3 linked regions of the Tamandua tetradactyla genome follow. The protein of the gene in region 1 interacts with the protein of each later gene in a pairwise test. Links are inferred from orthologs where the notes say so. Each region holds a gene or a part of one and is shown on either strand. Other genes may lie near its edges.

Evidence for each region.
Region 2: the proteins of DISC1 (region 1) and FBXO41 interact in a two-hybrid assay, tested with the Homo sapiens proteins (2 studies listed by BioGRID and IntAct). The link is inferred for Tamandua tetradactyla from reciprocal best matches to the Homo sapiens genes DISC1 and FBXO41.
Region 3: the proteins of DISC1 (region 1) and BICD1 interact in a two-hybrid assay, tested with the Homo sapiens proteins (2 studies listed by BioGRID and IntAct). The link is inferred for Tamandua tetradactyla from reciprocal best matches to the Homo sapiens genes DISC1 and BICD1.

Annotation. Positions count from the first base shown.
Region 1 is NC_135333.1:1,469,630-1,477,542, forward strand, and holds the start of DISC1 (disrupted in schizophrenia 1 protein), read left to right. Parts: upstream 1-4,852; 5' UTR 4,853-4,962; coding exon 4,963-5,835; intron 5,836-7,913. UniProt on the Homo sapiens protein: Involved in the regulation of multiple aspects of embryonic and adult neurogenesis. Required for neural progenitor proliferation in the ventrical/subventrical zone during embryonic brain development and in the adult dentate gyrus of the hippocampus.
Region 2 is NC_135343.1:46,914,374-46,922,164, forward strand, and holds the start of FBXO41 (F-box only protein 41), read right to left. Parts: upstream 3,030-7,791; coding exon 2,143-3,029; intron 40-2,142; coding exon 1-39. UniProt on the Homo sapiens protein: Substrate-recognition component of the SCF (SKP1-CUL1-F-box protein)-type E3 ubiquitin ligase complex.
Region 3 is NC_135333.1:95,344,243-95,351,615, reverse strand, and holds the start of BICD1 (protein bicaudal D homolog 1), read right to left. Parts: upstream 3,030-7,373; 5' UTR 2,517-3,029; coding exon 2,304-2,516; intron 1-2,303. UniProt on the Homo sapiens protein: Regulates coat complex coatomer protein I (COPI)-independent Golgi-endoplasmic reticulum transport by recruiting the dynein-dynactin motor complex.

The DNA of each region.
Region 1 (7,913 bases):
ACGTAGTATTTGAATTCCATTGCAACGTGCGTAACAGTATGTTAGACTTTCTGGGGGTATACGACCCTCAGGCAGCGTAATATATATAGAGAGTATAAATTGGAAACAACTCATATATATCAAAGAAAGTAACCGTACTAGGTATTAATAATAAATGGGGGAAATGAGCATTTGGCTCCCCTCGAGTGATGGGGTTGGAGGGCTGAGGGCCTGCGAACTGGGTGATCAGGTGTTCTAGTTTGCTAGCTGCCGGAATGCAATACACCAGAAATGGAATGACTTTTAACAAGGGGAATTTAATGAGTTGCTAGTTTACAGTTCTAAGGACAAGAAAATGTCCCAATTAAAACAAGTCTATAGAAATGTCCAATTTAAGGCATCCAGGGAAAGATACCTTGGTTCAAGAAGGCTGACAACGTTCAGCGTTTCTCTCTCAGCTGGAAGGGCATATGGTGAACACGGTGACACCTGCTGGCTTTCACGTGGCTCTACCAAAAAAGGGACTCTCTCCAAAATGTTTCCTCTTTTAAAGGAGTCCAGCAAGCAACTGCACCTTCAGTGGGTGGAGACACACCTCCATGGACATCATCTAATCAACAGTTACCACTCACAATTGGGTGGGTCACATCTTCATGGAAACAATCAAAATGCTCCCACCCAGCAATACTGAATGAGGGTCAAAGGGCGTGGCCTTTCTGGGGTCCACCACAGATTCAGACCGGCACATCGGGAAAAGGTAGCTGATGGGGAAAAGAATTGGAAGCTGCAGGGTGGGAAGGGTTTGGGCAGAAGAAAGGGAGAGTATTAGAGACAGGCAGAATTCTTTCTGATCTGGCTGATTAATATAGGTTTCCCCCACTTTTTCCCCTAAGCCAGGTAAACGGTTACTTCCGGGCGCCCTCTCTGCACTGTACGGAGAGGACCTTTGTCGTCTGCATCTATCCCAGGCTCTTGTCCTTCCTTCCCTTCAATTTCAGGACTCCCGGGGCGGGCGAAGGGGCGGGGTGGGGAGTGCGTGTCAACAGGGACCCGCAGCTGGTCTGCGATAATGGACGGGAAGGAGAACGTCTGCGCTTCTCTGCCTAGAATCTGGTGTGGGGTGGGAGAGCACGAGGAACCGAGCAGCCTGCTTGAGGCTCCCCTCTCCCCCGTCACCCTCTGCAGGCTGGAAAGACCGAACAAAGGCCACCTCTGGGCTTTACAGAGAAGAGAAGGGTGGTTTCCCAGGCAAATTTTCAAGACTGCCTGCACCGTACGGGTGTTGCCGCCCCCTTACCAAGCTCTTCTTCCTGCTCTTTGGAAACCTTGGTTCCGTCGGAGCTGATACTGGTTAGGTGTTAAGAAGGAATCTTTCTCTCTAAGATCTGAATAAATGATAACCTTCCCTAACTTCAGAGTGTGATGGCTTGGTGTTTCAACCACTCCAAGAGGCAAGATTTCAGGCAGGGTATATAAGTGATCATTTATTTCTGGTCAGGGTCCTGCCTTAAATTTCCAAAGGGGGTTGAGGTGGAGGGGTGGGAAGCAGCCCCACTGCAGAGGCCCCCTCCAGATCGCAGCTCTGTCAGCCCCTCTGTGGCCCCTCGTGCCCTCTCCTACGCTCCTGAGGGTTAGGATTGCTGCTGCCCCGGTCTCACTTCTTGGGACCGCTTCTGGGAGGGGTGCATGAGTGCTCAGGTGGGGTGCAGGAGGCGGCTCATCTGTGTATGGAGCCCTCCTCCTCTCAACCCCCCACTTTTTTCTTTTTTTTAAAATCTTTTTGCATGGGCAGGCAAGAACTCTGCCTGCTGAGTCATCATGGCCTGCCCCCACCCCGCACTTTTGAGAAACCCTGTACTTTCGTCCTCACTGCCTGTTGCTCATTGCTTCTTGCTGATCACGAACCTCAGTAGAAGCGTTGGGTCCCATCGGGGAACTGCTTTGTGCAAGCGACTGGAACCTGGCCTGGGGGAGTTTCAGATGCCCTTGGTTAAGTGCCTTCAGGCATTTTAAAAGAAATGAAATTGCAAACGAATTTATTTTCCTCTCGGCATTGTGCTGATAGCTTTTAGCTTTTAGCCAAAAGACAACACAGATTTCACTGGATTCATTTTTCATGATATGAAATTGTTGAATTGTTTTCCTTCAGCAATCGAAGCCAGAATTCAATATTCTTTTCTATTTCCTTTGGACTCATTGTTCATTAGAAAATATTTTGCCAGTTTTATAGGGGAGACAAGAATTAGTCCTTGTGGACCCTCTCTCCTCCCACAGCCTCTTCCTCCTGCTCTTCCTGCTGGTGGGTCCCAGACACGGCAGGGCACGTCGTGTCTCCCTAGGATGACATACTTGGCAAAGAGGACGTGGGAACTCCCTGTCGGACCACAGTGCATAGACACCCCATTTGGCTTATTAATTATTCCCTCTGTACATTTTCATCATATCCTTCTCTGCTGTTCTTCCTTTGGACTCTGTCATGAAGAAAAAAGAAAAAACATCTGCCATCCTGTCATTTTAAGTTATCATCCCAATTGATAGAGTAGGAGGTAAAGTAGAAGGAGCATTTACTTTGGGATTAGATGGGCCTTTCTTCAAAACCAGGCTCTGCTAGTCTGTTATCTGAGAATTCAGGGGCAAATTAAAGCTTTCTTGGCTTTGATTTTATTGTCTATAAAATGAGAACGGGGCCTGTCTCCCAGGTCTAGCTCCTGTACTGTTTCCCTCCCTTCCTTTACCTGTTTTCCTCTTACTTCCTTCCTGGCTAAAACTATTTTCATTCCTCCCTTCACTGCAAGTGTGCCAGTGCGAAACGATTATGTATCCCAGAAAAGCCAGACTTTAATCCCGATCCAATCTTGTGGGCCAGACCTGTTCTTTAGGGTGGGAAACTTTGATTGGACTGTTTCCATACACCCAAGTGTGGCTGTGGCCTTTTGGTTAGATGGAGATGTGACTCCGCCTATTCAAAGTGGGTCTTGATTAGTTTACTAGAGTCCTTTAAAAGGAAGAACATTTTGGAAAAACCTCAGATGCAGATGCACACGTTTGGAAATGCAGAAGCCCCAGGAGACACAATTGCTTTAGAGCCCACAGATGCGGATATTTGGAGATGCTTGGAGTGCCGATGCCTAGACATGGATGTTTGGAGATACAGAGCCCAGTAGACATCACCATGGGCTTTCCCATGAGATGCTAAATCCACAGTTGTGCCCTGGAAGAGTTAACTGAAGACCCACAGACACTTAGAGAGGAAACCACTGCATCAGAAGTTAGAAGCAATGGAACCAGGGAATAAGGACCAACAGATGCCAGCCATGTGCCTTTCCATGTGACAGACATTGGCCTTTCTTGAGTCAAGGTACCGTTCTCTGGATGCCTTAGTTTGGATATTTTTATGGCCTTCAACTTGTAAACTTGTAACATAATAAATTCCCTTTTTAAAAGCTCTTCTCTTTCTGGTATATTGTGTTTCAGCAGCCATTAGCAAAGCAAAACTGCAAGCTTCCAGAAAGCCAGTGTATACTGGGAAGTATCACTCTTCCTGGGGTCCCCAGAAGTTGGCATACCCCATTTAGCAGAGAGCAGGTCACTGGGTGAATATATTTTGGGTCATCTCATCTCCAAATGCTCAAAGTCAGGGAGTGGGTGGTTGTGTGCTATAATGCTTATATTTCCAGGTGGCAAAGTACAGGATTATCATTGACATCCATCCAGGCACTTGTGCAGCACCATGGTTAAATGTCTAAACCTGACAAAGACCCTGGGTTTGTGTATGCTCTAACAGGCAGAGGGAAGGATTTTGGACATGGAGTGAAGCTCTGTCCCACTTCTTGCTGCAGGCTATTGTCTAACTAGAGTTGTGTTCAGTGAACTCTTGTCTTACTTTTATGCACTTGAGCTGGCTCATCCACACAACCATGAATTGATTGATTCACATGGCATGGGCAGGAGCAAATGAATTTAATGTAGGTGAAAATGCTATATGGCTAGTAAGGTACAATGCAATGTAAAAATAAAAACTAACACTTTTTTTTAACACTTACGTGTACCAGGCATTGTTCTAAGCTCTCTACATGTATTAACTCATTTAGTTTAACACTCTTTAAAGAACAAGGTACTGTTAAAATCTCCATTTTACGGATAAGGAAACTGAGGCACAGAGAGGTAAAGAAAGCTTGCTGAAGGTCACCCAGCTAGCAAGTGGTGCAGCCCCGGTTTGAACCAGGTAATGCAGTGCCAGAGTCTTTGCTGTCAACTGCTCCACTGTACTACCTCTATCAGGTGTCAGCATTTGTCAATACCATTCCTGTCCTCTAGCTGAGAGTGTCACACAGCCTCTGCTCTAGAGAACCCACCACCCGGGGCTCTCCTGCAATCTACCAGATGAATTGAGAGGCATATGCAATGCAGCTGTGATCACAGCCAGGCAACGAGGAATCATTGAAATTCACAGAGGAGTAGCTACAATAAATGATTGACTCATGGTTGTGGCTTTCCGGTTTCAAATCACTTGCTTTCCAGGCCCACTCTGGGATGAAAGTGCTGATTTGCAGAGGGTTCAGAAGGAGCAGCCAAGTTTGTGCCTCCAATTTTCATGCTGACCTGTTGGCATAATTTACAGCATTGCCAGCGGCCCTGGGAGGCAGGGGAGCCGAGATGCCATGTTCCTTTCTGCATGTTCCAAGGCAAACACTGACCCAGGCCCCTCAAAGCTGTGAGCCAGCATCTGTCTGTTTTTGGCAGTCAACCCCAGGGGTGTGCAGGGAGAGAGCACCCTGAACTTGGGGTTGTTCTCCAGAAGCTGTTGCAGCTGAGCCTGTGAGGGTTGAATGTTTATGGTGCCATGTCCTCTTTCTTTTCTCAGGCAGCCAGGATGGCTTACCACCTGCAGCATCCTTTGGGAAGACGCGGCTGGCAAGGAGGCCAGGCTACCTGAGAACCACGGCTGGACCCCGGGTTGGATGTCTCTCCCCGGTGGTTGGCATGCTATTTGGTGCCCAGGGAGTGGCATGCGGCGGGGAGCACCAACACTCTGAGCTCCAGGCTGGACAGGGCAGCCGGGACTCTGGAAGCCAGTGGCCAGACCCCTCACTTGGAAGCACTGCGGCCCCAGCTGGGATACCTATGGCTCTGACCCCAGGAGGAGAAACCTCAGGGCGCTTTGAAATTCAGCTCAGAGCTGGTACCAAACCTCCCAACTGGCTAACCAGGTCTTGCAGCCCTGGGGACTCTGGGTGTCAGGGAGAGTTTCCATCCATGAAGAGTTCTGACGTCCCAGGCCCTACTCGGGATGCAGCCTATGGTGAAGGAGTGAGGGGTGCTGGGGCAGCAAGCTCTCTGGCTCCAAAGGGAGCGAAGAGCAACAGCCGCAGCTGGGGAAGTGGCCCTAAGGCCCCCTTGGCCCCTTTCAGCTCTCATGAGGTCTTTACCTCGAGCTTTAGCTTCATAAGGCTCTGCCTTGACTCCGCTGGGGAACGTGGAGAGGCAGAAGGCTGCCCTCCATCGAAGGAGGCCGAGGCACCTCGCCAGGGCTCCGAGGAGATGAAAGCCCAAGCTGCCGGCTCGGAGAGGCCCCAAGAGGACCCTCCACTTCTCTTTCAGCCATTCGATCTCAAGGCTACTTGGGGCCTGGCAGACTCTGCCCAGACTGCACAGAGCAGCCCCAGGCCGGAGTGTGAGACGCTCTCTTTATTAGACACGGATGCTGCCTCCCCTTGTTCCCTGGATTCTTTGTTGCCTGGCTCTTCTGCCTGCGAGGACAGCCCCTTGGGGGATGATGTCGGTTGGGACACCCTGATCAAGAAATACGAGCCTGTGCTGCGGGAGTGTCTGCTGAGCAACCAGAAGCAGTTGAAGGTTGGTGTCCCCTCCCCCTCTGAGCCCCACAGGATTGTCCAAAACTCAGATTAGCAACTGGACAAAGGGCAGGAAATGACTGGGTGCTGTGTTGTCCTACTTCCCCTCCCGGAAGCCACAGCAGCTCCACGTGTTGGCTGGCTGCAAAAAAGATGTGACTGCACTTCTGTTTCTTCCTTTTCAGTTTAGACACAAATCTGTTTGCATTTAGATCTTCCCTGTGACTCTGATGCTCCGAGTTGCTCTCTGCTGACCCATAGGTTCCTCTGCAGTCCCTGGCTTTGGTGAGACATGGTTGGCTCAGCCTAGCTCATTTTGAAACAGGAAATGGAGACAGGGGAAGGGAAGATTGAGCTGGTGTTTGGAAGGGGTTGAGTGAGAAGAAAACAGTGATGCTTTCCATTCAGGGTAATTTCAATCTTCATCTGTATTTACTCCTCTCATTTCATCCTGCGGCAATGGAAATTGTTCTATATACAGTTAGGAGATTTATTTTCTGGTCATTAAATTTCTCTGAATCTCAGTTTCCTTATTTAGATAGTGGGGATGACAATACCTCATAGGATGGTTTTGAGTCTCAAATGAGAACAACAGTAGTTGGAAATTAGAAAGAAATGCATAGATGTAAATTGTAGCATTACTGGATTGTTGTCCATCTAGCTATCTGAGTGGTGGGTAGAGCTGGGAGGGGAAGGGCGGTTCTACCCAAAAAAGATTCCCAGAGGAACCCAGGTAGAGATACTTTATGGCTCACCTACTGGACTGGAGGGCTGACCCACTGAAGGACTGCATTTTTTTTTCTGATGTGTGTGTGTGTATGTTTTATGTAAATGTGAGTGGGCATGACAGGTAGGGAAGTGAACACCCACTCATCAGACATTTGGTAGAAGTATTTGAAAATGTGGAAGTTCATTTTCATGCCCAGAAATCCTATCTTATTTACTTTCAATTCTTTACCTGGAGCTTGATGATCTTAACCTCATTCCTTCTTGCCCAAATCCAGCCCTCAGAGACCTCAGCCCAGTCATCTCGTTTATGACGCAGGGAGACTGTGAAGCCAGGGCAGAGAGGCAGCTCCTGGATGATATGCGCAGTCCTCGAGTTGGACATGCCCAACACTGACGCCATCACCTTTCCCACCAAGCCTGTCCGGAAGTGCCTCATGTTTTATAAATATTTGCTGATTGATTTAATAGAATCATCCAATGCCTCAGTCATCGTCAACCCTTCCTCTCTCTCCCTCCCTGCATCTGATCAAGCTCCAAGTCCTCTCACTTCCACCACTAAGATAGTTCTCACTGCCACCTCCTAGCTCAAGTCTGTGTTATCTTTCACTTGGGTTTCTCAAGAGATTCTTAACATGTTTAACCTCCTCCAGTTTCTCTCTTCTCCAATTCATCCCACAACTGACCTGCAGACCTCTCTTCCTGAAACATAGGTGACACAGTGCCACTCCTTAGCTTAAAAGCTTTGAGGCTCATTGCTGCTCTCAGGATAACATCTGAGCATCTTATTCCAACAATCAAAAGAGTTGTCCCAATCTGCCCCCAGCTGCCAGCCTCAGCCACTGGGCACTGCTTGCCGTTCTCTGTAAGACCATAGGGACTCGTCCCTCAGTGCCTTTTCTCATGGCTTTGCCTCTGCCAAGAATGACCTTTCCTTACTTTTCCATCTGTTAAGTTCCTTCATTTCACTTTCAATGATGCTCCATTGCCACTTCTTCTGAGACATTTCCTACCCCATCTAGACCAAAGAAGTCCCTCCTTCCAATTCATTCCCATAGCACTTTGGACTGCCCCATTGTAGCACCCACCACATTTAGTAATAATTTGTTCATGGGTCCCAATTCCCCACTTGACTAACTAAGACCTCTCTTAGTTGTTTTTGCATGTCTGATACCTAAATTACTTCCCAGTCCTCAGCAAGTGCTTGATTAATATTATTTTACTGAAATAATTAATTGTGGGAAGATAGGCCACAGACAACTCAGCGGGTGAACCACTGCCCTTCCCCCTAATGTGAGACATGACTCCCAGGGGTGTAAATCTCTCTGATATCGTGGGACAGAACTCCTGGAT
Region 2 (7,791 bases), on another chromosome or scaffold:
GCTGTCTCCTTCAGGAACTGGTCAATCTGTACCACCTCCCTGGGCCCGGAGCAGTCTCTTACCCACTGCTTCTGCCTGGCTGCCCACCCACCCTCTGCCGAAAGACCTTGGCCTGGGGGTAGAGACTCTGAACATGGCTGTGTGCAGCTGTCTGCACCTGGTCACCTAGGCATGTGCACACCAGCCCAGGCACACTGGGCACAAGACATTGTCACACCCAGAAAGGCTCACTCACATGGCTGCCTCATCCAGCCAGCAAGACGCACAGTAAGAGCCCCCTGCTCCCCATAGTTGTACTGCCACACACAGCCACTGCCTCCCACCAGAAACACTGCCGGGTACACACGGTCACACATCCAGGCCCACCCAGCTCTCTACCATACCTAGACACATCCACTGCACATTCAGAATGCATGTGCTCAGTCAGATGTGCTCAGTCACACAATCTCCCAACATAGAAACACTCACAGGTGTGTACTCAGAGTCACATAGCCACACACATGTACCCATCCACCCCACCCTCCAACAAAGCCCAATGCACAACTCCATGGGCAGCCCCACACACTCACACACGTGTAGCCATACTGCAGTCTTTCTTGGGTATGCCCCTTTGAGTGTGGGGCTCAAAGGCATTCAAATATGCTCAGACATTTTTTCAGCCATATACAAGCATTCAAAAATCCACGTTAGGTCACATCAACCCAGAGAGAAAGACTCGCAGATGCAGAGGCACGCACCAGCCTCCAAGAGTTACAGGAAAACATGGGACATGACAGAGCTGAGTGAGTATTCACTCCCAAGTGCATTCGTACTTGTTCCTTCAACATTTACTCAACACTGTGGCCGGGTGAGCTGTGTCTCCACCCCCAAAATTATGTCCATGTCCAAACCCCCCATACTTATGAATGCAACCTTATTTGCAAACAGTCTTTCCAGTTATACTGAAGTTTAGACTCTCAGGATGAAATCACCCTGGACATAGGGTAGGCCCTAAATGTCCTTAGAAGGGAGATCTGAGACACATAGGGAAGGCCAAGTAAAGACAGAGGCAGAGGTTGCAGTGACGCAGCGACAAGCCACGGATTGTTGGTAGCAATCAGAGCTAAGAGAGTGGCATAGGAAGGATTCTCTCTCAGAGCCTCGAGATGGAACCAGGCCTGTCAACACCTTGATTTCAGACTTTTGGCCTCTAGAAGTGTGAAAGAACAAATTTCTGTTGTTCTAATTTCAAAATTCTGTTGTTCTAGTTTGCGGTACTCTGTTATGGCAACCACAGGAAACCAGTTCCTGTGCCTTCTAGGCAACAGGTACTGTTCTAAGTGTTAGGGACACAGCAGCAAAGAAAATAGAGAACAATTCCTGCCCCATGGAGCTTATATCACACTGGGGACAGATAACACCTCCATGTTTCACAACTCCTACGTTTAAGTGCTAGAGAAATGAGGAAGAACCAGCAAAGACAACTGTGAAGGAGCAGACAGAAAAATAGGAGGAGGAAAACCCAGGAGAGCATCCTGGAACCCAAGTGAATGGGATTCAAGGGTCAGCTGTATCCAATGTAAGATGGTGATGTGGCCTCATTGTTGATGTCAAGGACAGTGGTGGAGGCAAAACCTGATTAGGATGGATTGAAAAAAGAGTGGAAGGAAAGAAACCATAGACAAGGAGTGTAAATAATACTTTTAAGGAGGAGAGACATAGGCCAGTAGTTTAAGGGGATAGTGGGGCTAAGACAGATGGGAAAAAAGACATCACGTGGGCATGTTTTTAGGAATAATATGGCAGACAGGGAAAATCTGATGATGGACAAGAGGGGGAAGAGTTGAGCCAAGTCACTGAGTCCGCTAAGGAAAATAAGATCTGGTGCACAAACGCAGGGGTTGTCTTTGGCTGGGATGACAGCAAAGGAAAAGAAACAGTCTTCCCGGACTGCCACAGACTCACTCTTCGCTTAGCACACACTTCCATTACAAGCTCACCGCCACAGCTTCCATATTCCAAAGCCCTGGTCTCAGGCACAGACATACCCACTCACTGCCAACACGCAGCCCCGCTCACGGTGGGGGTGGCACAGTGACAGACACAGACGCTCACTCAGAAACACTCACGGGCCACCCCCAAAGGCCCGGCGGCCCCACTCACTGCTGCTTGCGGCTGAGCTCCTGCTCTTTGTGCACCAGGTCCTGCTTGAGCGAGGCCAGCAACTCCACGCTCACGTCCACCTGGCGCGAGAGCTCAGAAGCGCGCTCCTCCAGCTCCTCCTTCTCCCGTCCGAGCCGCGCGCTCTCCTGTCGCGCCGTCTCCAACTCGGCGGCCTTGCGCTCCAGTTCAGCCTGGAGCCGGCCCACCTGGCCCGCGATCTTCTGCTCCACCTCCTCGCTCAGCCGCTCCAACCGCCGGTCCACTTCCAGCTTCTCCAGCGCGCGGATCTTGAGGCGCGCCAGGCCCTCCTCGTACGCCACGTCGGCAGGAGACGGGGACGCGGGCGACGCGGAGGCGGGCCCGGAACAAGGGCCGGGCCCGGGCCCGGGCGGCGGCGTCGAGCACGCTGAGGACGCCACGGACTTGCGCGCGAACAGCTCCCCCAGCGGGATCTCGATCTCACGCAGCGCGTACCGCGCGGCGGCGGGCACAAGGCCCGGCTCGGCCAGCTCCTCACAGGGTAGGCCGGCGGGCACTAGGTCGCCGGGGAAGTGGGCGAGGGGCGCGTGGTGGTGGTGGTGGTGGTGCAGCAGGTGAGGCGCTGCAGCCGACGGCCCGGCCACCTGCTCCTTGCCCTGGAAGGACGTGCTTTCGAAGACCTCGCGCCGGGCGCCAGGCACAGCCAGCAGGGCGGCGGGCTCGGGCGCCAGCGGGAAGCCGGAGGCGGCCGCGGCCGTGCCGTCGCAGATGCTGTTGGTCTTGGAGAGGATGTAGAGCGTCTCGTACGTGTGGCTGTACTCCAGGTGAGCGCGCAGCGACGACAGGCTCCGGAAGCGCTTGTGCTCCCCGCAGCGCGGGCAGCGGTAGGGTAGGTCCAGCGAGGCCATGGCCCCGCCGCCCCCTCTGCGCCCGGGCTCCACGGCGGCCGCCCCTCCGGTCAGCTGGGCGCGCTCATGTGGGGCCGCCGGGGAGCCCCACTGCGGGGCCGGAAAGGCTCAGGGCGCCCGCGGCCGGGGGCAAGGAGGCTGGAAGAGAGAGGATGAGTCTTAGGAGGGTGGGGTCGCAGCTTCCCCCACAAGCCCCCGTCCCCATCTGCGGTGAGGATATTGACCTTCCAGGAAATACGTGCTCAGAATGGAGGAATTAGGGGAGACTAAAGGTCTGACCTCCCATAGGGGGCTGGCCTGTTCAGGTACCTCAGCGAGGGCCTATACATGTGCGAGAGTAAGATTTCCTAAAAAGAAGCATTAGTTCTACTTACAATAGTTCCAATCTGGAAGCAACGGGAGAATGGATAAATTGTGGTAGATTTATAATAGAATTCTACTCAGTAATGAGAAAAGGTACATGCCACAAAATGGATGAATCCATTTGATATTAGGTTGCATGAAATCTGCCTGACCAAAGAGTGTATATAGGATTCCAGCACCCAGAACTGATGATGACAAGAGTCAGAATAGTTTACCCCTGGAGGCTATGGGACTGGGAAGGGGCAATGCTGAGGATGTTCTGTATCTTGACCTGAGTGAGTTATACAGGTGGATGCATATGTAAACAGTCATCAAGCTGTACACTTAAGTTAGTGCACTATATAGTAGTACACTTAAGTTAGTATGTTATATGGTATCTGACTGGATATTTGTTACACCTCAAAAGAAATCCTTAAAAAGAGGATGCTTATTTCCATCTGGTGCAAACCACATCCATCACACAGCCTGGACTATTGGTACCATGTTGTAAGTAAGATGCCACCCCACCCACCCCTGCCATGACCTCTGTGCATGTGTCACTGCCTGGTCCCTGCTTCTGCACCACACCCTCCCATCCCTGCCACTTCAGGGACCTAAATCCTTTTCTCTGATCTCTTCGATATGTGGTTCACCAATAAATGTCCCTACCCTGCCCTTTGCCCCAAGGGCTCATTATCTATCCTCCCCAGACCCCTTTTGGCACAAGCCACCAACCCACCCAGGCCTTCCCACCCCTCATCAACCCCCAACCCCTGCTGTCCAGCCCTTCCATCTTTGACTTCCAGCCTCCCCTCTCCTGCCTTGAGGGCTCTCTACACTTGTCCTCACTGCCCTCCTCTTCCTAACAGCTGCCATTGGACTTCACTCTCTACTGTGACCTTGGGGTCACAGATTACCTGTTCATCAGCGAATCCAGTTGTCATCTAAGGTCTCTGCCCACTTTGTCCCTTGGTTGACACTTTTGACCCCTCCATCTTCACAGGGTGCTGTGATGCTGCCTCGTTTTAGGTTCTTCTCTTGGTTCTCCCCAAAATTCCTGCCTCCTGATGGGGGTCTTCACTGAGGTCTGCCTTCATGCCTCCTCTGCCTCAGTCCTCTCTTCAGGCAGTCTGTCCACTCACAGCTCTAAGCCCATGACTCCAGTGCTGTCTCTCCATCCTTACCTACTCCTCAGTTCCATTTGCCTTCTGCTCATTCCACGTGGATGGATGGGTGGGACAGCTGCTCCCTTTGCCAGCCTGGCACCTGCTCCTGGTGATAGCATCCTGCTTTGACCTTGGAGAACCATCCTTCTTTCCCTACTTTCTCAGTCCACATCAGCCAGGGTCCACTCCTGGCTCCAGGGGTAAAAACATGACATAGGTCTGGCCAATTAGAGTCCTGAGATGGGTGAACCCTGTCTTCAGCAGCAAAGCAAGTGATTAAACTGTCTCCCACTGCCTCTGTGTTCAGACCATGTACCTACCAGAGCTGGAACTTTAGGGGACTTGTAGAAAAATGCAGGAATGTTGGGGTATGGACTTTTCATGACCTTCAGTAATGTCCTACAAGAAGGAGACTCTCTGGCCGTAGGCGCCCATCTGAGAGAGAGAAGAAGAAGCTCTGGCTTTGTCTAGAGAGGCCCTTTCTGCCTGAGGCCAGTAACCCAATAGGGCTGAGAATCAGGTAATTAAGAGCCAGATCTCTTCTCCAAGCTAAAGTCAGCTCAAGCAAGGACTAGGAGGCTGGAAACACAGAGGGAGATAAGCTTGGGGCCTAACAGGCGCCTGACTCCTTAGCAGCCCCCACCAACCCCTCCTGCTGTACCTTCCCAGTGGCCTCTATTATAAAAGCCTTCTGCTGGGATGTAGCTTGAGGGGTAGGGCCCAGGGAGCTCCCCATCCAAGACTATGGGTGTGCATTACTTAGCGACAGGGGACCAGTGAGAGGCCACACAGCTAAAGGCTCCTGGGAGGTGGGTGGAAGCCTGTTGCTAAGAGATGACCCTTCCTCCTGCCCCCAAGCCACCCCTTGATACAAGAATTACAACTTTCAGTGACCAAATGTAAATTGACTGAAAGCTTCTAATGTTTAAGCGAATTAATATTGCCAGGAAAGAAACCCAAACCTGGAAAACAAAGACCAGGGGTACTCCATCCCTGGACCTCACCAGAACCCACACCAGTAGGAGGTGACCCCTCAGTGGCCCTTCACACTCACCCAACCAGGCTCACCCAACCACTCTGCTCTTCGGGAGTCTCCTTTGTCCATCGTCCTGGGTGCCACATGTGGGAGGATCACTGCAGGGTCCTTCCCTGGGCATTTTGTTTAGCAGGACCTGGTCTATGATATGTACCTGTGACCTCTGAGGCTTCTTTTTCCCTATCTTCCCTCTTCAATTTTGGAGGTTTTTTTTTTTTTTTTTTTAAGGAATGGACAAGTAAATATTTATTTCTATGGATGTGGAATGGCAGTCATAATATATTAGGAAAAAACGAGCCTAATAAAAGGGGTTTATCACTGAACACCAGGCACCGTAAATAAGGGGTTCACACCTTTGGGTTTTGTTTTTTTCAGTTATCCTACTTTTCCTCCATCATTGTAATCTGGTCATAACCAAAAGACTAAGAGGGTCTAGTTTAGCACCTAATCAAAGAGCAGGTCAGTCATACTAATTCTGAGATCTCAGGCTTGGGCTGGGTGTGGTAACTGGGTGGGGACCTGGAACCCCTCCCTCTGGAGATGGGATTTAATGTGCTTTAATCTTGGGGGCGATAATTGCTTTATGTGAAATGGAAGGAAGGGGGTAGGTATGTGTAGCTCTCAAGGAGCAAAGAGGTGAATTGTAGTGGGTATTGGATGATATTGCTGCCTGGCTTCAGTCCCTTTCTGTGTAGAGATCCCTGGTTTTCCTTTAGATTCCCCTGACTTTCAACCTATGTTGTTTGGTTTGGGCCAACAACCTCCATCTTTGGTTCCCTGATGGGCATGTCACCCCTTGTCTGGGCCAGTGCCTGCCACCCCAGGACATGTGCTAGGCAGGTGGGATGTGCTCCTGAAGCACAACAGAAGAAGAAGTGATACCATTTGAGTACCCAGATCCAGATGTGCCTTAAGCTATAACCCAGGACTTCTCAGTTATGCAAGGCAGCAAATGCTTTTTGTTGCGTAAATCCTTTGAGTCTGTTGCCAGTCACAAGCAAATGAGAATCTTGATTAACACAAGGACCCAGTGTCAAAAAATAAATCCTGGACTTCCTCTCACTCACACCCCCTCCCAGGATCCCTGTTTCTTTCAGTGGGGCTGCTGACCTCCCTGCCACACAACATCACTGGCCATCTGGAGTTTCTCTCTGTGTTGACCAGCAAAGCCTGAGGACTTTGCCTTCAGAATACTTCAACAGAACTATTTTTTTCTCTTATGCTTCGTGCTGTTCTGGGCCATTGCCTCCCCACACCTGGGTTGCTGGCTCCACATTCCGCCTCATGGCTCTGTTCCATCCTTCTTTAGGCACGAGAGCCTTCTTTTTGCAAATGATTCCAGCTCAGACTCCCTCAGTGGTGCCCACTGTCCATCAACTGCACCCAAACTCCTGGGCCTCACGACTTGACCTCAGTGTACTGGTGCCAACTGGAAGGCGAATAACGGCCAGACTGTTTCACCTGTCTTTCTTTGATTACTATGTGAAAGGTTTAGGAGGCAAAAGGGTGAAAAAGAAGAAAAGTAGACCAGGAAATTTAAAGTGAGCGAGTTTATTTCTGCGCTCCCGGGTAGAGCTCACCGCATCCAAGATGGAGAGAGGTGAGTCCGCACATGGGCTTCAGCGCGGGCAGCTTTTAAGGATGGGGGTCAGGTAACATCCGGAAGGGGCGGTTCATTAGTTCCGGAAGTCAGGTTGGGAAGGGTGACACAGCCTCTGCAGCTCCAGTTGCAGTGCCTTTCCCCGTTCCCCCGACCTAGCACTATGGTTAGACATTTTTGCAAATATTTATCTGTCATTTGCATCTTTGTGGTGACTTACCTTTGCACTGCTTTATTTTTATACCGAGTATTCATATTTTCTCATTGTTTTGCAAAGGCTTTTTTCAGTATTGATCCTTTGTTTCTCATTTATATATTGCAGGTATTTTTCTTAAATTTGTTGACTGGCTTTTAATTCTGTTTATGGTCTTTATTGATATGCTAAAGTTGTAAAGTTTGCTTCAGTAAAATTTATTGATCTTCTCCTGAATGATGTCTGATTTTGTTGTCAGGCTTAGAAAGTCTGCCACTAATCAGAGATTATATAAACAGCTACATATGTTTGTCTGCAGTACTTTGTGTACTTTTGGTACTTCCCCTTTATACATTTTAATTTCCAACCCACTAGAAATTTTGGTGTGCACAGTAAGACAGGGATTTAAAAACAAAGTCTTCATT
Region 3 (7,373 bases), about 94 Mb from region 1:
ATATTACTTCAGACTACTTTAGCTCATTTAAATAATATTCTCAACTAAAGTCTACATCATGTGTAAATGATAAAACTAACAGGTCTCACTAAATAATAAAGTATAATGATTATTTTATGGTCCCTAAAATTTATTTTTATATCATTGTTTGAGGCACTTCATTAGGAAACTTAATCTGAACTACTATATTAACACAAAATACAACTAAAAATACATGTGGGTATCATTTGGTAAAAATAACCCTGGTAAATTTTTATTAACCTCCTACTATAAAGACCAAGATATGCTTTACAATTTTATAGAAAAAAAACTGTTATATCATTCCCACAAAACATTTTCTTGCATTTTTCTCATTACTGCTGATGAAATTAATTCAGGTCATTTTAAAAATATTCACCACTTCCTAATTTTCTTAGTCTCTCTATAACAGTAATATTGGCTAGTGAGTGCCAGAGAAGCATACATCTTCTTCCAGCACAAATTTATTCTTCCATAAAATATTCATAAAATATTTACAGCATGCCCACTAGATGTTAGGCTTTGTGCTAGACTTTGGATGCAAAATAAATTAAGACCTAATCCTTGCCTAAAGATCTCATGGTATACTAAGGCAAAAGACAACTGTATCAAGTTTATTATGTAGGGTAAATGCAATGACACAGGGTTATTCCTGGAAGAATTTTTTAAATCAAGCAAAATGGTCAGGTAACTGTTACACTCCATTTTATTACGTCTGTCCCCTTAATCAAGGAGGCGATGACTTCACACTGGCTGGTTTGCACTTCTCTGACTTGGCAAAGCAATGATGACAGGTGTAGACTCTGAGAATTACAATCATCATGCTGTTTCCTGACTTCAAAAGTTTTAGCATCACTAAATTTAAACATGGCAGCCTAAAATCTTCTCTATTTTGGAAAATATAAACATATAGATGTTTTGTTAAGAATATACATAGATGGTAAGAAAAATCATAAAATTTACAGCCTGATGCACAAGAACGGGATTTCTAATTGGGGTATTTACTGTATGTACCATATTTCTTTTTTGGCATTTAGGCATCAGAATTAAAAAACATAAATGTTTACCATATTGTGTAAATATGCTAAGAAAGCAAGTTGATTAGATATGTCATAAATCATGTCTTTTAACTGTAACAACACAAAAGAAGACCTAGCTTTTCTGCTAAGGAAAAAAATAGTTTGAGTACATTACTAAAGAAAGGTTTTTGATATTTTTTTATATCAAATGAGAAATAACATTTGAAACACCAATAAGTGCCTAAAAATAAAGACTTGCCTCACAGAAAAGCAGAGTGTACATTTAAATTTATAACCGGTTACTTGCCTCAGAATCAGATAAAACAGCCTGAGTTCCTTAAATAATATGTGTATTGTATTGACAAGAAATTAAAGCATAATGACTAATTTCTTAGACGGTCTTCAAAAGAAGCCAAACGCACAAAGACTAAAGAAGGCAAGTGTTAATACACGGCCTATTTGTGATACTATGTTTTTATAAATACAATTGTTTCAACCCAAGAGCCTCATGTGAAAGCAAGGCTACCCATGTAAGCAGGTGTTTTGATATATAACACTCTTTCAGACCATTTGTAGGTGAGCTATATTTTCTCTGGTCAGGGTGACCTCATAACTCTTGGGCATGGCCCGGCCTCACTCCTAGGTGAATACAAGGCAGCAAGCATCACCCTAGGAAAACTGTTGTGTGTTTTCTCCCCTGCAGCCTGATGACAAGAATGACTAAAGCCAAGAGGAATGAAGATTGCCCAGCCTTTGCAAAATAGGATTGCTAAGGAGTTCTCCTAAAAACAGTACCCTCTCTCCCCAAGGAGGAGTTACATTCAGCAGAAAGCTAAGGTACCATAAATCCTACATGCTGAAATTGTGGTTCCTCACACAAACCCACTCACCACCTTTGTGGACTATGGGATTGCCACTGAAACCTGGGCTGGATATAACAGCAGTTTTGAGAAGTTGGATTGATACATTCCAACCCAGCTGAATGTGGCTTTAGTCCTGGTACTTGAAGGCTCTTATGAATCTTCCTCCCCCACAGCCCAAACAACCACTGCCTCCCAAATTCCAGTTTATACATTCATTTCCTAGGCAATTTTTCTCTTGGTGGTAAGACAATGGACCCTTTCAGTTTTCTCTCATCAACAAAGGGCTCTAAGATGAAGAAACAAGTCTTTTCAATCACATCCTTTCCGACTTCAAAAAATGATGAGCGGGGACTGGGGGCGGGGAAGCGGGGGCCGAGGAGGGGAGAGGTGACAGACAACTCACCTCTTTCAACTGCTCGAGCTCCTGTTTGAGACTGTCGTACTCAGCCTCCAGCTCATCATACTGCTGTTTGAGGGTCAGCTTCTCTTCCAGCACCACCAGCCCGTACTCGGCAGCCTGGATCTTCTCGTGGGTCGTCTCCGTGAGCTCCTTAGTCAGCCTCTCTATCTCAGTCTTATAATGGTCCACCGTCTGCACTACCTCTTCTGCGGCCATAGCCCTGGTCGATGGAGGCAGGAGGGCAAGTAAAAGCAAGCGGGGGATGGAAATGGGGGAGGGGGTAAAAATGGAAAAGAAAAAGTGTGGCCCGATGAATGGGTGCCCTGACTGCTCCTCGGGCAGCAGCAGCTACACTGCCCGAGAAACTGACAAGAAATGCAACATGGAGAACGCAGGGGAAGAATCGGGGGCGAGCAGGCAGCCGCTGCCGCCGGCGTCCTCTGGGCCGGCACCGGCGTGCGGTCAGTAGCCGTGCGGCATGGCCTGGGCTGCGGCGGCCGGGGGCAGCGAGGGGCTCCGGATTCTGCTTATTCAGAGGCGCCGGGCCGCCATGTCTCCCGGGTAGCGTCACTGCAGTCTCCCCTCTCGGTCTGGCGCGCTCCGGCTGGTCGCTCGCTTGCTCGCTCTTCCCACCTGCTCCCTGTAGCCCTGCTGCAGCCTGTGCGGAATGATGCAGTCTTGGGGCCCGCTCCCTCCCTTCCCGCCTGGCCCCGGCTCCAAGCAGGGGGCGGGGAGGCGGATGGAGTCAGCGCGGGGGGAGGAGGGAAGGACCAGACGGAAACATCCCGAGGCACCTCCCGCCGGGCACACGGGGCCGCGGGGCGGCACCAAGGGGCGCGCAGCGCGGAGGCGGCGGGATGGAGCCCGGGAAGCGGCGCGGCCTCCGCTCGGCCCGCCCGGGGCTGGAGTTCCTCCCCAGGGCTTTGATCCCGCGGAAGTCGGTCCTCACAAGACTGGCACGGGCGCCCCAGCTCTCTCGCTGCGACGTGCCCCGAAGCTCAGGACACTGCCTGGAATCCGCGCCTTCAGCAAAGAAAAGCAGTAATTAGCGCAGTCCCGGCCCGCGCTTTCTTCTTACCTCCAGGGCTCGCAGCATCCTTTCCCGGCCTCCTACAGCAAAACGAACACTGCTTCCAAAGCCTTCCAGACGCGCCCCAGGGCGCCCGCGCCCGCCCCTTGCCGCTTTCCTCTCCCTATCTTCCTCCGTTCCCTCTCGGCCTCTCCTGGTCCACCCCACACTCTCGCCAAACAACTTTATTATCCTTCAGGGCAGTCTTCGCTAAAGATTGATTTTCCTGGCCAAAGCTTTTCTATGCCCAGTTTATCCAACAAGATAACTATCAACCAGAAATATATTCCCATGCACTGGTTAACTTGTCGGTGCCCTTATTTCTTGCCCTGATAGATCTTAATTCGAAGTACCGTACTCCGTGGATTCTTCAATAAGGGAAAAATGCATGAAGGTGAAGAGAGTACTGAAATCCCCTATACATAAGGTATCAACAGTACTCTAGAATAAACATTATTATAATAATAAGAGCTAATAATTACTGAGGCTTACCATGTGACAGGCGTTCTTCTGAGTGATTCTCTCTAATCCTAACAACCCATTAAGGTAGTAACCATTATCCCCAATCTACAAATTTTTGGTGAAAGGAAGGGACTGGGAGATTCGGTGATTTGCCCGAAGTCAGGCAACTGCTAAGTAGAAACGCCACAATTTTAATCATAACTCCACAGCCCTAAACTGAACCTTAATAATGTGTAGTTCATCTTCACTCATAACTAATAGAAGCCCAGTAACTAAATATTGTAGGCTTTTAAGGAAACCGCATTACAAGTTAATCAACATGTAGAATGATGAGGGAGAGTCACAAAAGGAGGTAAAGGGGAAGTCAGAGCAGAAGAGAAGGAGTTGAGAAGAGATAATAGAGAACAACCAAGAGGGAAGGAAGTAATAGAGTGAAACGGGGAGGAAAGGAGGGATTTCTGAGTAACCGGAAGGCTATGGAATCCACAGAAGATGATTCTGACCAGTTCCCTTCAGCCCCACTAAGGAATAACAGTTATCGGAGGGCTATTTCTCAATGGCCAGGAGATGCCTCAAAACACACATGGGAGCTTTCTGAATCAGAAAGCAGTACTCAACTCTTCCATTATAAATATAAAGAAAAAGTAGTGGCTGATGGCTGGCGCAGGAGGAAGAGCAAATGTCAATGCCCTTTCAAAGTCTTCACTGACAGGCTTTCTAGATGTGATTTTCATTGCCTCAAAAAACAGACAAAAAGTTTCATTCTAAATACTAACAATCAGCAGAATATGTCCCTTGTGACTATGTGCTCTAAAAAAATAATTAAATAAAATGGAGAAAACACATGAAACATGTAACCACCATGAATTCCAAGCTCTCAGAGAAGCAGTAATGCCATTCACCACAACATTCCCCCAATATTTCTTTGATCTCACACTCCATTTGAAAAGCTCCTCCTGTAGCACCTGTCGACTGTCGCGCTGAAGAATATCATAAACTGCTGAAGAGATGAATCCTGTCATTGCAGGTAGCTAACCTGTCTTCTTCACAGTATGCCCGTGGCTATTCTTCACTCCACACAGATCTGAGAGGATCATAATACTCAGAATATTATGATTGTGTCTTCCTCTTCTTTGGATAGAATTAGGAATGCAGTTTCACTGTGACTTTCCTTTTTTTGAGTGTTCATTGCTGCCCATTCCCTGTGCTCTATCCTACCCCGATTTTCTTATATTTTGTTAATACATTCAGTCTGACTTTATTCAGACATCTACACTATTCTAACACTTTAAATTCTTGCTTTTTACAGCTTTGATACTTTATATGCTGATATTTAACTCAAAAAAGGCAAACTTATTTCCTTATATACCCCATTCTTCCAGTAGTACATAGTTAGGAGTTACATTTTCTCTCTTTCCTCATATTTTATATATATATAATATATATATATATATGTATGTATGTATGTATGTATTATGTGCCGGTTTGAAGCTCCAGAAAAGCCATGTCCTTTAATCCTCATTTGGTATTGCTGGGTGGAATCTTTTTTATTGTTTTCATGGTGATATGACCCACCCAATTGTGGGTGGTAACTTTTGATTAGATGGTTTCCATGGAGCTGTGTCTCCATCCATTCAAGAAGGGGTTACTCACTGGAGTCCTTTAAGAGGGAACCATTTTGGAAAAAGCTTGAGAGCCACCAGAACCAACAGAGCCCATGCAGCCAGAGACCTTTGGAGTAAAAGAAAAATACCCCCAGGAAAGCCTTAAGAAATGAGGAGAGAAAGTTAGCAGATGTCATCATGTGTTTTTCTAGCTGAGAGAGAAATCCAAAACGTCATCAGCCTTCTCAAGCCAAGTATCGTTCCCTGGATGCCTTAGATTGGACATTTTTATAGCCTTGCCTTAATTTGGACATTTTCACAGCCTTCAAACTGTAAACTGGCAACTTAATAAATTTCCTTTTTTAAAACCTGTTCCATTTCTGGTATATCGCATTCTGGCAGCTCTTTCAAACTGAAACTTATTATATATATAACAATTCAGTGACAGATATCTAGAAAACAATCTCTAAACCATTCCTAGAAGCAGGGTTCCATCATTTTTCTCTATTCTAATAGCCTCCAATTACTTACAGAATGTTCTTACTTGCAAATGTTTATTTAAACAAAATTGTATTTTGTGGCCTAGTACCTTAAGTCAATCTCTCACCATTTTAGTCTGCATAGATTCTTCTTTATCTTGCTGTCATTTATTCATTCATTAAACAGATGTTTATTATGTATCTATTATGTAGTAGGCATTATAGTAGGCATTTTGAAATCAATAACCAATAAGATGTTACTGGTTAATGGTCCCTGATCTCATGGAACTTATGTTCTGGGAGGGACACACAAAAAACAAGCAAAAAGACAACAAACAAACAAACCCAAACAGACAAATACATAAAATAATTACAAATTATAACATTAAAAGGCATGTTAGCATAGTGGTTACAAGTACAAGCCAGTCTTCTTGGGTGAAACTTACTTTGCCACCTAGCTCTTTGACCATAGTCAAGTTACTTAACGACTCTATGCCTCAGTTACCTCATTCTTCAAAAGGAGATAATCAGATAATCTACTAATGAGGTTGTTGTGAAGATTAAATGAGTTCACAGAATACTGCTATAACGGAAAAATAAGGATTTAAGGGATGATTTTGATTACTGAATCATATCCCTTTTTGCTTTCTGGAATATTGGAGTAGACAGGGGAATACCTGAAATTCCTAAACTGTAAGTCAGCTGCCCTGATATCTGAAATAGTGTAATAGCATTTGTCTCATGCCTTTGTAGCTTTGAGAGTTGTTACACCCTTTATTTGATCATTTTCTTGGAGGGCAAAGGCCCTAATGCTACTGAAGTCAGCCATTAACGAGCCTCAGCCCTGAACATTTGTAAATCATATCAGCTAGATTCTGCTTTTGAAAGATAACTTGTCTCCCTTCCTTTTGGCTTACACTTTTAGTACTAAAATAGTAGCTCTGCCTCCCCTCCTTTTAGTTTATCTTCTCCTATTGAAACGATAATAACATTGTCTCCTCTTCTGCTTTGAACTTACTGTTCGGAAAAAAACCTTGAACCTCCTAAACTCAGGGTGACAGATTTCGTGCTGCTAGGCCATCTGCTGTCCTACTACACACCTAGTAATAAAATCTTTCTCTCTTTGAAACCCCGATATCTCAGCAATTAGTTATTGAATGTATCGGACAAAAAAGTCCACTGCCTTTGTCCAGTAACACTGCCTGATACCCAATAAGCAGTATACATGTGTCTGTTTAAAAAACATTTCTGAAGATGAACAAGAATATGTTGAGATAGGTGAAATAAGATGATCAGTACAGACTTCTCTGAAGAAATGGTATTTATACTATTAACTAAGCACAAGAAGGAATTGGATATACAAAATATAGGGGAAGAGCTTTCCAGGAAAGGAGAAGAGAGTGTGTAAAAGACAATGACACGGTGCAAGGGTAGTTCAGAGATAGAATTCTTGCCTGCC